Linked DNA regions of Macaca mulatta. The protein of the gene in region 2 purifies or fractionates together with the protein of the main gene of each other region. This does not show direct contact. Links are inferred from orthologs where the notes say so. Each region holds a gene or a part of one and is shown on either strand. Other genes may lie near its edges.

The links. The genes of interacting proteins can lie anywhere in the genome.
Region 1: the proteins of EPS15L1 (region 2) and ITSN2 purify together in Homo sapiens (affinity purification with mass spectrometry; 5 studies listed by BioGRID and IntAct, with this or other methods). This does not show direct contact. The link is inferred for Macaca mulatta from reciprocal best matches to the Homo sapiens genes EPS15L1 and ITSN2.

The regions. Positions count from the first base shown.
Region 1 is NC_133418.1:100,661,282-100,665,775, reverse strand, and holds the start of ITSN2 (intersectin-2), read right to left. Parts: upstream 3,188-4,494; 5' UTR 2,613-3,187; intron 2,252-2,612; exon of another isoform or gene 1,664-2,251; intron 1-1,663.
Region 2 is NC_133424.1:16,958,287-16,962,749, forward strand, and holds the start of EPS15L1 (epidermal growth factor receptor substrate 15-like 1), read right to left. Parts: upstream 3,195-4,463; 5' UTR 3,170-3,194; coding exon 3,137-3,169; intron 1-3,136.

The DNA of each region.
Region 1 (4,494 bases), on a different chromosome or scaffold from region 2:
GTGCTGGGATTACAGGCGTGAGCCACCGTGCCCGACCTATATAACTCTTTTTTAAATTTATGAACCAAGATGACGATACCAGATAAGGCACAGGTGCTGAAGTTAAAAGGATCTTGGTTTGAAACCTGGCTATTGTACTTACTAGCTCAGAGACCTAAAGTAGTCAAACTTCAGGTTAACATTTCACTTATCTTTTTGATGGGAGGATAATAATTACTCCTAGGGCCTTAGTAAGCTTTAAATGATTATGTAAAACACTTAGCATAGAGTCTAACATGCAGTTACGTGCTCGATAAATGACAACCATGGTAAACGTATTTTATACTGAACAAAGCATAGTTGAAGGAGACAGCCAATATGTGATCCTTTTGTCTTACTAAAGATGGAAATTTGTGAAACTCTACATTAAAACTAAAAATCCTAAGGTTACATACGAAATTTCCCACTCTTTAAAAAAGATACACTAACTACATAAGGTTAGATGATTTTTTAAAATAAGAAAGAAAAAAAAAAAAGCTTCTTGAAAGCTGCTGAGTTTGGGTGACGGGTACGTGCTATTTTTGTGAAAATACAAATTTTTTAACACTATTAATCCAATCCCCAGAACATGCCTAATACACCTCCTCATATTCAGGAGAGAGCAAGATTTTAGCCTTGAGAGGTATTGAAAAATGGTACCTTCCTGCTTAATAATTCTGTACAGGTCAAGTTTTCTCGGACGAGTTTACCTTTCATTATAAAGGTGGGCACAGGGAATAGTTATCAATACATGGAAGGGAGAAAAAATGCAAGCTTTTCAACTGCTTATTAATACTACATCAAAATAGCTGCAATGAACATTTTTTCCACGTTTTCAAAAACATCAAATACATCCACTTTATTTACTTTTGTAATTACAAGAGGCTGACAGGCACGGACCAAAAAAAAGCTCAAGGTAAACACATCAGAGTTGTCAATATCTTTAAATTTTGAAGGAAGTCATTACTAATTCGTGTAAATGTTTTATGCGATGTTTCTAGGTAGCTTTTAGGTTTTACCACTGATTAACAACATAGCACACCAGCACAGGGAGAGAGGCAATTTTTCGAAATGCTTAAGAAGCTTTAACCTACAAGAGCTTATGCTACCTAAACTGAGCTAACAACGTAAAATTTCAAGTCACACCTTGCCTATTCCTGAGTAAGCAAGCAAACACTGTGAAACAAACTAGAAGCACAGAGCAAAGCAAGTCATTTCTGTGCTAACCTTAATTCCTATCATAACGGGGTTGGCTTCATCAAAACATATTCCTATTTCGGTATTAACACAAGTTTCAAATAAAGCACACTTGCCATTGGTAATTCTGGAGCGACAAAGCGCATAATTAATAAATCCAAATGGAGCATCTTTCTACAGGATGCAAAGCCATCTGCAGTTTCAGCCTCGGTTTACCCACTCACTATGCACATGCAGACGTCTTTTTAAAAAAATAAATAAATAAATAAACTTTATCTGGCCTGAGAGATTACATCTCTCGGTGCTTCCTGTATATTCTGGAAGTCAATAACGCTGAAGGTAAATTTAACATTTCCAACTCCGGAGGAACGCGAGCGGTGGACGCCAAGCATCCGCCCACTGTCCTCTCGTGACTCGGGCTACTTTGACGCACTGGGATGCGGCTCACCTGACATTCCGCACCAACCCTTGCCAGGAAGGAAAACCAACTCCGCGAAAATAAAATGGGTCCCGGAGGAGGCGTGCGGGTGCCCCCAGAGCTCTCTTCTGCTCGCACCCCGAAAGTGAGAGGGCCACGCCGCCCCCCGACCCTTGCCGGCGTCCGCCACCTGCCAGACGAGGCCGCGGTCGGGGACCCGGGCTCGGCCGCAAGGAAGGGGTAGCCCAGCCCAGGCCCCCTCGGCGTCCCCCCCGGCCGGGCGGCAGGGGAAGGAACCCGGGGCCGCAGGTTTCCGCCCGGCACGGCCGAGCCCGCCAGGGGCCTAGCTCGGGGGCCGCCCGTGCTCCCGAGGACCCGTCCCCGTCGTGCGGAGCGCGCAGCCGCCTCAGCCCGGCCGGGGGAGCCTCCCGGCAGCGGGCGCGGCGCCCGCACCTGCCCCGCGCCTTCCGGCAGCCCCGCTAGCGGCTTCACCCACCTGGCGCCCTCGCCGCGCCTCCCGCACGTCACAGCACGACTCCGCGCTCCTCAGCACCGGCAGTCTGGGCGCGGGCAGCCGCCGGGAGACCCTGCTCTGCCGCCGTCGCCGCCGCTGCAGCCGGCTTGGTCGTCAGGCCGCCGCCAGCGAACCTGTTGCGTAGCCTGTCACGGCCGCTCAGGGCTCCGCGGGCGCCGCCTCAGCCCCACAACAACATGGCGGCCGCGGCCTCCGCAGGAAGCCGGGGGGCGGGGAGGTAGGCGCCGGGCCGGGCAGCTGACGGCCCGCCCGCTGCCGGGCACCGACTCCCCACCCTCCGGAGCCCGAAACTGCCCGGGCGTGGCTCCTCACCCCCGGAGTTCCGGGGCACTGAACCCTGAAAGTCTGCTCCGAATCGGTCGGGTCCGAAGCGCTCCTCTCTGCCCTCGGGGAGGCCCCGAAGCCCCAGACCCGGCAGCCCTTCCTGGAGCTGCGGAGACCCACCTGGCTCCTCCTCTCCGAGGTGACATGTTGAGCTTGGGTGGTGCTTTTCCTGCCACGGCAGACCCCGGTGTTTTGGAAAGTCCCAAGCAGTGCCTGCCACATCCCTGTTGCACCCCGCCACGGGGCTCTCCCTGGAACCTTCTCACTCGCCGAAGTTTTCTTCACTGATGTGGGGGCACAAATTCTCTGGGAATTGGGGGGTGGAAGGTGGGAAGGAGGTCGATCCCACCCTTGCCCATGGGTCTGTTACAGGCCTCTTGAACCCTTCTCAGGGACCTGGAGGACTTAACCATACCCTCTATCATCCATTCACCATTCCTCGCCCTCCTCCATAACACACGCGGAGCGCCCACAAGGAGCATCCTCTACGCTAGTCACACAGTAGGAAGACTCTGTCCCCGTAGAGCCTAGCACGACGAAGCTAAACTTTCCTCCCCACCCCTCGCCAAGGGAAAGGCCAAGGTCAAACTCAGAATTTGTTTCTTTTCTCCCCTCCCGGTTCCTGGTCTCCTCACAAAAGACCAGGCTTCAACTCAAGTCGCCACCGTATCCCAAAGGCTTGCCCTTGACAAGAAGCTCCGTCAAGGGAAAGGCTTTCTTTTGATTTGTGTGAGGGAGGAGTTAGTGTATGAACGTAACCAAATGAACGTAACCAAATGTCGGCTGGGCCCAGTGGCTCACGCTTGTAATCCCGGCACTTTGGGAGACCGAGGCGGTTGGATCATCTGAGGTCAGGAGTTGGAGACCAGCCTGACCAACGTGGTGAAACTAAGATGCAAAATTTAGCCGGGCGTGGTGGCAGGCGCCTGCAGTCCCAGCTACTCGGGAGGCTGAGTGAGGCAGAGAATCGCTGGAACCTGAGAGGCAGTGATCTGAGGTTGCACCACTGCACGCCAGCTTGGGCAACAAGAGCAAAACTCTGTCTAAAAAAAAAAAAAAGTAACCAAATGTAAGACTCAAGATTTTTGGATATAAGACCCAAGATTTCTATTTTTTTTTTTTTTTTTTTTTCCCTGAGACAGTCTCACTCCATTGCCCAGGCTGGAGTGCAGTGGCGCGATCTGTGCGATTGATCTGTGCTCACTGCAACCTCCACCTCCCAGGTTCAAGCGATTCTTCTGCCTCAGCCTCCAAGTACCTGGGATTACAGGCACTCACTACCACACCCAGCTGTTTGTATTTTTAGTAGAGATGGGTTTCACCGTGTTGGCCAGGCTGGTCTCCAATTTCTGACCTCAGGTGATCCGCCCACCTCGTCCTCCCAAAGTGCTGGGATTACAGGTGTGAGCCACCACTCCCCGCCAAGACCCAAGATTTCTTTTGACTTTTAGAAGCAGGGTGAGGGCTGGTCCGGGGTCCATAACTCATATCCCCATGATTTGATCTGTGTAGATCAAATTACCCCATGGCATCCTTTCATTCCTTACCTGCTGAGGCAGGTGAAGGTGAAATGGCTCCAAACCCAGGCCCATCTGAACTGGCCAGCCAGCTCACAAGGAATTTACCAAACTTCGATGACGATAAACAGGCTTTTCCCGCTCTCACACTCAGTGTTTTTCCTAACTCTTCGATTAGAACCTGACCAAGACCTGACAAACAGGTCCTGAGCCTCAGTGACACAGAGAGGCCTAACTCTTGTATCAGTCTAGGAGGCCCCTCACTTGCTGGGGACCAGCCAATCTGTCCCCATCTACAAACAAACTACCCAGGCCAAGGATAGCAGTCTTGAGCACATGGCCTCATTCGCATTGCACACTTCACCGGTAACTGATGTGCCCTTTTGGAGCCCATGTTTGAGAGTCAAAGCACCAGAATCCTTCACAACATAGTGCTCCAGAGAGTTGGCCTGAGAGGTAAAACCTATTTTTTATTCCTGTAAGGC
Region 2 (4,463 bases):
TGATGCCTGTAATTCCAATACTTTGGGAGGCCGAGATAGGACTGCTTGAGGCTAGGGGTTTAAGACCTGCCTAAGCAACATAGCAAGACTTCATCTCTACAAAAAAAATTTTTTAATTAGCTGGGTATGACTGGTGCGCTCCTGTAGCACCAGCTACTTGGGAGGCCAAGGTGGGAGAATTGCTTGAGCCCAGGAGTTTGAGGTTGCAGTGAGCTATGATCCTACTACTGCTCTCCAGCCTGGGGGACAGAGCGAGACCCTGTCTCAAAAAACAAAAAGAAGATGACTCCCACAGTGGCGGGGGATGAAGTGGGAGGGAGAGGGCAAGTAGGAAGTAGGATGGCCCAGCCCACTTTGGGCATGACAAGAAAGTGGCCTATTCCACAGTCCAGCAGGCTGGCAGGGGTGCAGGAGAGCCACCTTCTGGACTCCAGAAGGCAGGTTTGGAGTCCTCTGCACAGAAGTTTCAGGGGAGGGAGCACAGAGATAAGATGCAGGTGGGGAGGCTGAAATTAGGGGACAAGAGGGAGAGACTGAAAGGAGAGAGGATGAAGAGTAAAATCCCATGGGCTCCAGTGTTGCAGGGTTCGAGGAGGATCGGCTGCAGCCACAGGGCACCAGGTTTAAGGACGGAGGGGCCGCTGGTAACCTCGGGGAGTATAAGGAGGGAGAAAATCTGGACGCATTTCCATGGAAGGCTTTTTGGAAAACAGAAGAGAGCTGAGCAGGGGGACAGGGAGAAACACAAATAACTGAGATGCTGATGGGAAAAAAAAAATCACTACTAAAGAGGCAGGAGTGCAGACCTTTCTAATTCATATTGATATTCAGGGTCAGAAAAGAGTATACAAGGAAGGAGATTCTGAGATGATGTCGGGGAGTACAGAGCAGGCTGAAAAAGACGCTGATGGGAAAAGTGCAGACGGGCGTGGGGGTGGAGAAAACACACCCCTCCTCCCCTAGGCTACCCACTGGGTTATCCACTTTGCTCACCTTCACCTGGCCGTCTGCTTGCCAAGTGTGCTCTGTCACCAAAATCCAACCAGATCACAGCCGCCTGCTGCAGGGTGCTTCCCTGTTGCCCCCAATCAAAAATTTTGGAATCATACCCTTGGTTCCCCCAGAGTTATCTGTGAACCCAAGTGATCTCCTAAGCTAGACAGTAAGGGCCTGGGAGGGCCATGCCTCACATCTGGGTCAACAGTAACCCATGGTGTAGATCTTCACTCGAGAGCAGGTGTAGAGAAATGCTGACATTTCCAAATGAAGAAAACCAGGCCAAGCCTTCATTCAACAAATGTATAGGGAAAGGAACAGGAAGAGGCTTAGGAGTCAGTGACCTGGCCGGGCGTAATGGCTCACACCATTTTGGGAGGCCAAGGCGGGTGGATCACTTGAGGTCAGGAATTTGAGACCAGCCTGGCCAACATGGTGAAACCCCGTCTCCACTAAAAAAAATACAAAAATTAGCCGGGTGTGCCTGTAGTCCCAGCTATCAGGAGGCTGAGACAGGAGAATCACTTGAACTTGGGAGGCGGAGGTTGCAGTGGGCTGACATCACACCACTGCACTTCACCCTGGGTGACAGAGCAATACTCCACCTCAAAAAAAAAAAATTTTTTTGGACAGGAAAATTTGGACAGGAAGTTTTAGAAAGATCCATGCCTCCCAAACTGGTAGTGCTTAGAGGTTTCTCATGAAATGATCTTAGGTGATTTTCCCCGACTCCTGCCGTCCCTGCCCGCCCCCTGCTCCCCGCCCCCCACCTCCCCACTACATACTCTAAACTGTAGCACTTAGCTATTAATAACTACTATCTGTAGGACACTTAACAGTTTACAGAGCACTTTCATGTCAGTAACAAGAACTTGCTAATTAATAATCACTGGGTGTTAGCACTGTTAATTTAGTGACAGTGTTGCAAACTGGCTAGCTGTGCACTTCTCTCACCTTGGATCAGCTAACCAGTCATGCAAGCATGCAACTGGCCTGTCAGCTCTCTTCGGGTCTGGAATTCTTACTTGCTGTGGTCTCTACTCCCAAAGGTCCAAATCTGGCATAGGCACTGTTCTAAGTGCTTTTTCACATGCTTAATTTTCACATAATCCCAACACATTTTTATATCTCCATTTTCCAAAGGAAGCAACTGATGGGTGGAAAGGCTAAGAGCTTCAACCAAAGGCACAGAGAAATCGGGGCTGGAGCCAAGATTTGAACACATGATCTGACCCTGTGTCCTCACTCTTAATCACTATGCTGTGCTAGATCATTCTAGCAAAATGCTTATATGGTGCTTTGCACAACACAGGTATTCAGCAAATAAAGGCAGCTGTGATTAGCAGAACACAGGCAGTTTCTAGTTCCCACGAGTGTCACCTCCAGGAGAGCAGCGACCTTGTCTGTCTGGATGAATGCAGCGCTCCCAGCACCTGACCCAACGCACATTTGAGGGATGGATAGAAAATGAATGAATGAAAGTCCCTCCCAAATAGCAGAGCTGCCTACGCATGACTCTTTTTCGCACGTCTGTGTCGCGCTATCGATACTGACCCTTCTTAAGCGCATCAGGCGAATTTGAGGACACAGAGAGGTGCCCAAAGACGTGCGATCTGCGCCCGGTGCAGGGTGCAGGGGTGGTGGAAGCAGCTCCCAAGGGATCAGTCTGAGATCTCGCTGTTGCTGACGGGTCCGGGCTCCGGCGAGGCTCTGCCCTGCACCCAGCAGGGACCCTGCCCGCCCGAGCGCCGGCACCCGCGGGAGACAAAGACTCGCCGGGCCACTGCGCCGACAGAAACGCTCGTTCCCCTCGCCCACCTCTCCGGGATGCAGCCTAGCCCCCCGCGGGTCCCTGGCCTGGGAGCTTCGGCGGCGGCAGGGTCCGGGCCCTGGGCGAAGAGGACACGCGCCGCGCATCTCCTGGCCTCGCTGGTGCCCGCGAGGGTCGCTCGGGCACTGGAGGCCGCGGGCCCCGGCCTGTCACCTTCAGGGCCGCCTGCCCACCCGCCGGCCGCAAACCCTTCAAGCACGAGCCGCCCCCGCCGCCGCCCAGCTGAGTCTCCCCGCGCCTCAGCCTCGCCGCGCCGCTCGCCTCGCGCCCCGCACCCCGGCGCCGCCCCCAGGCCCGCCCGGCCCGTACCTGCTGGGAGAGGGGGATGAGTGGCGCCGCCATCTTCCCGCGGACTCGGGCTCCGAGCGCCGGGGGAACGGGGGCGGGGCCGCTGCCACGCGTGCGCACTGGGACGACGGGAGGGCGGTGCGCACGCAGCCTGTCTCGGGAGGGGGCGGGACCGTAGGCAGGGCCACGCACGCGCAGTCAGGCCGGCAGGGGCAGGGGCGGGGCCGCGCGCCGGCAACTTGATGGGCGGGGCCCGAGGCGTCTCCGTGCAGTGCTCTCTTGCTCGCTGTCCCTGCCCCTGCTTCCAACGTCGTTCAGACTCTCGTACCGCCGGCCGCTGGCCGAGTCGGCCATGCTCTGTCATCCCTCCAGCCCATGCCGAGGCCTGGTTCTCTGTTAGGGAGGCCGTCCCCCTGCCAGTGCGCCTGGGGAGGCGGTTGCCCACCCCGCGGAGCGTCGGGACCGTCACCCTGCCTCGCAAGGCGCCCTGTTCCTAGGATCGCAGTGTGTGTGTTCTAATCTGGGGGACCCGCACCCTGCCCCCCTCACCCTGCCCCGCAAGGCGTCCTGTTCCTAGGATAGCTCTGTGTGTGTGTGTGTGTGTGTGTGTGTGTGTGTGTGTGTGTGTGTGTTGTAGTCTGGGGAACCCGCACCCTGCCCCGCAAGGCGTCCTATTTCTAGAATAGCTGTTGTAGTCTGGGGAACCCGCACCCTGCCCCGCAAGGCGTCCTATTTCTAGAATAGCTGTTTGTGTAATGTTTTATAATCTGGGTCTGCCCGTTAGGGTTTTGACTAAGCTCAGGCGCAGAACTTCACCTCTCTGTGCCGCTGCAGCACCCACAGTGCCAGGTGCCAGGCATGATTCCCCTGCTGCTCTGTGTGTCCTGGCAAGTGGTTGAATTTGCCTCTCTGGGCCCTTAGGCCCCTCTTCTGAAAAGAGAGAATGGTAATACGTGTTTGTTATTGTTACACATCTATGTCCCTCACTGCCCGGCACAGAGCAGCTGGCACCTGATGCTTGCTGTAGTATGGTTATTAGAGGAAAAGCACTATTCTAGAGGACTTTTTCTTTTATTTTACTTTATTTTGTCTCACTCTGTCAACCAGGCTGGAGTGCAGTGGCACGATCTCGGCTCACTGCAACCTCGCCTCTCAGGTTCAAGTGATTCTCATACCTCAGCCTCCTGAGTAGCGGGTATTACAGGCATGCACCACCATGCCCGGCTAATTTTTGTATTTATATTTTTATTTTATTTTTGAGACGGAGTCTTGCTCTGTCGCCCAGGCTGGAGTGCAATGGCGTGATTTCCACTCACTGCAACCTCTGCTTCCCAGGTTCAAGCAATTC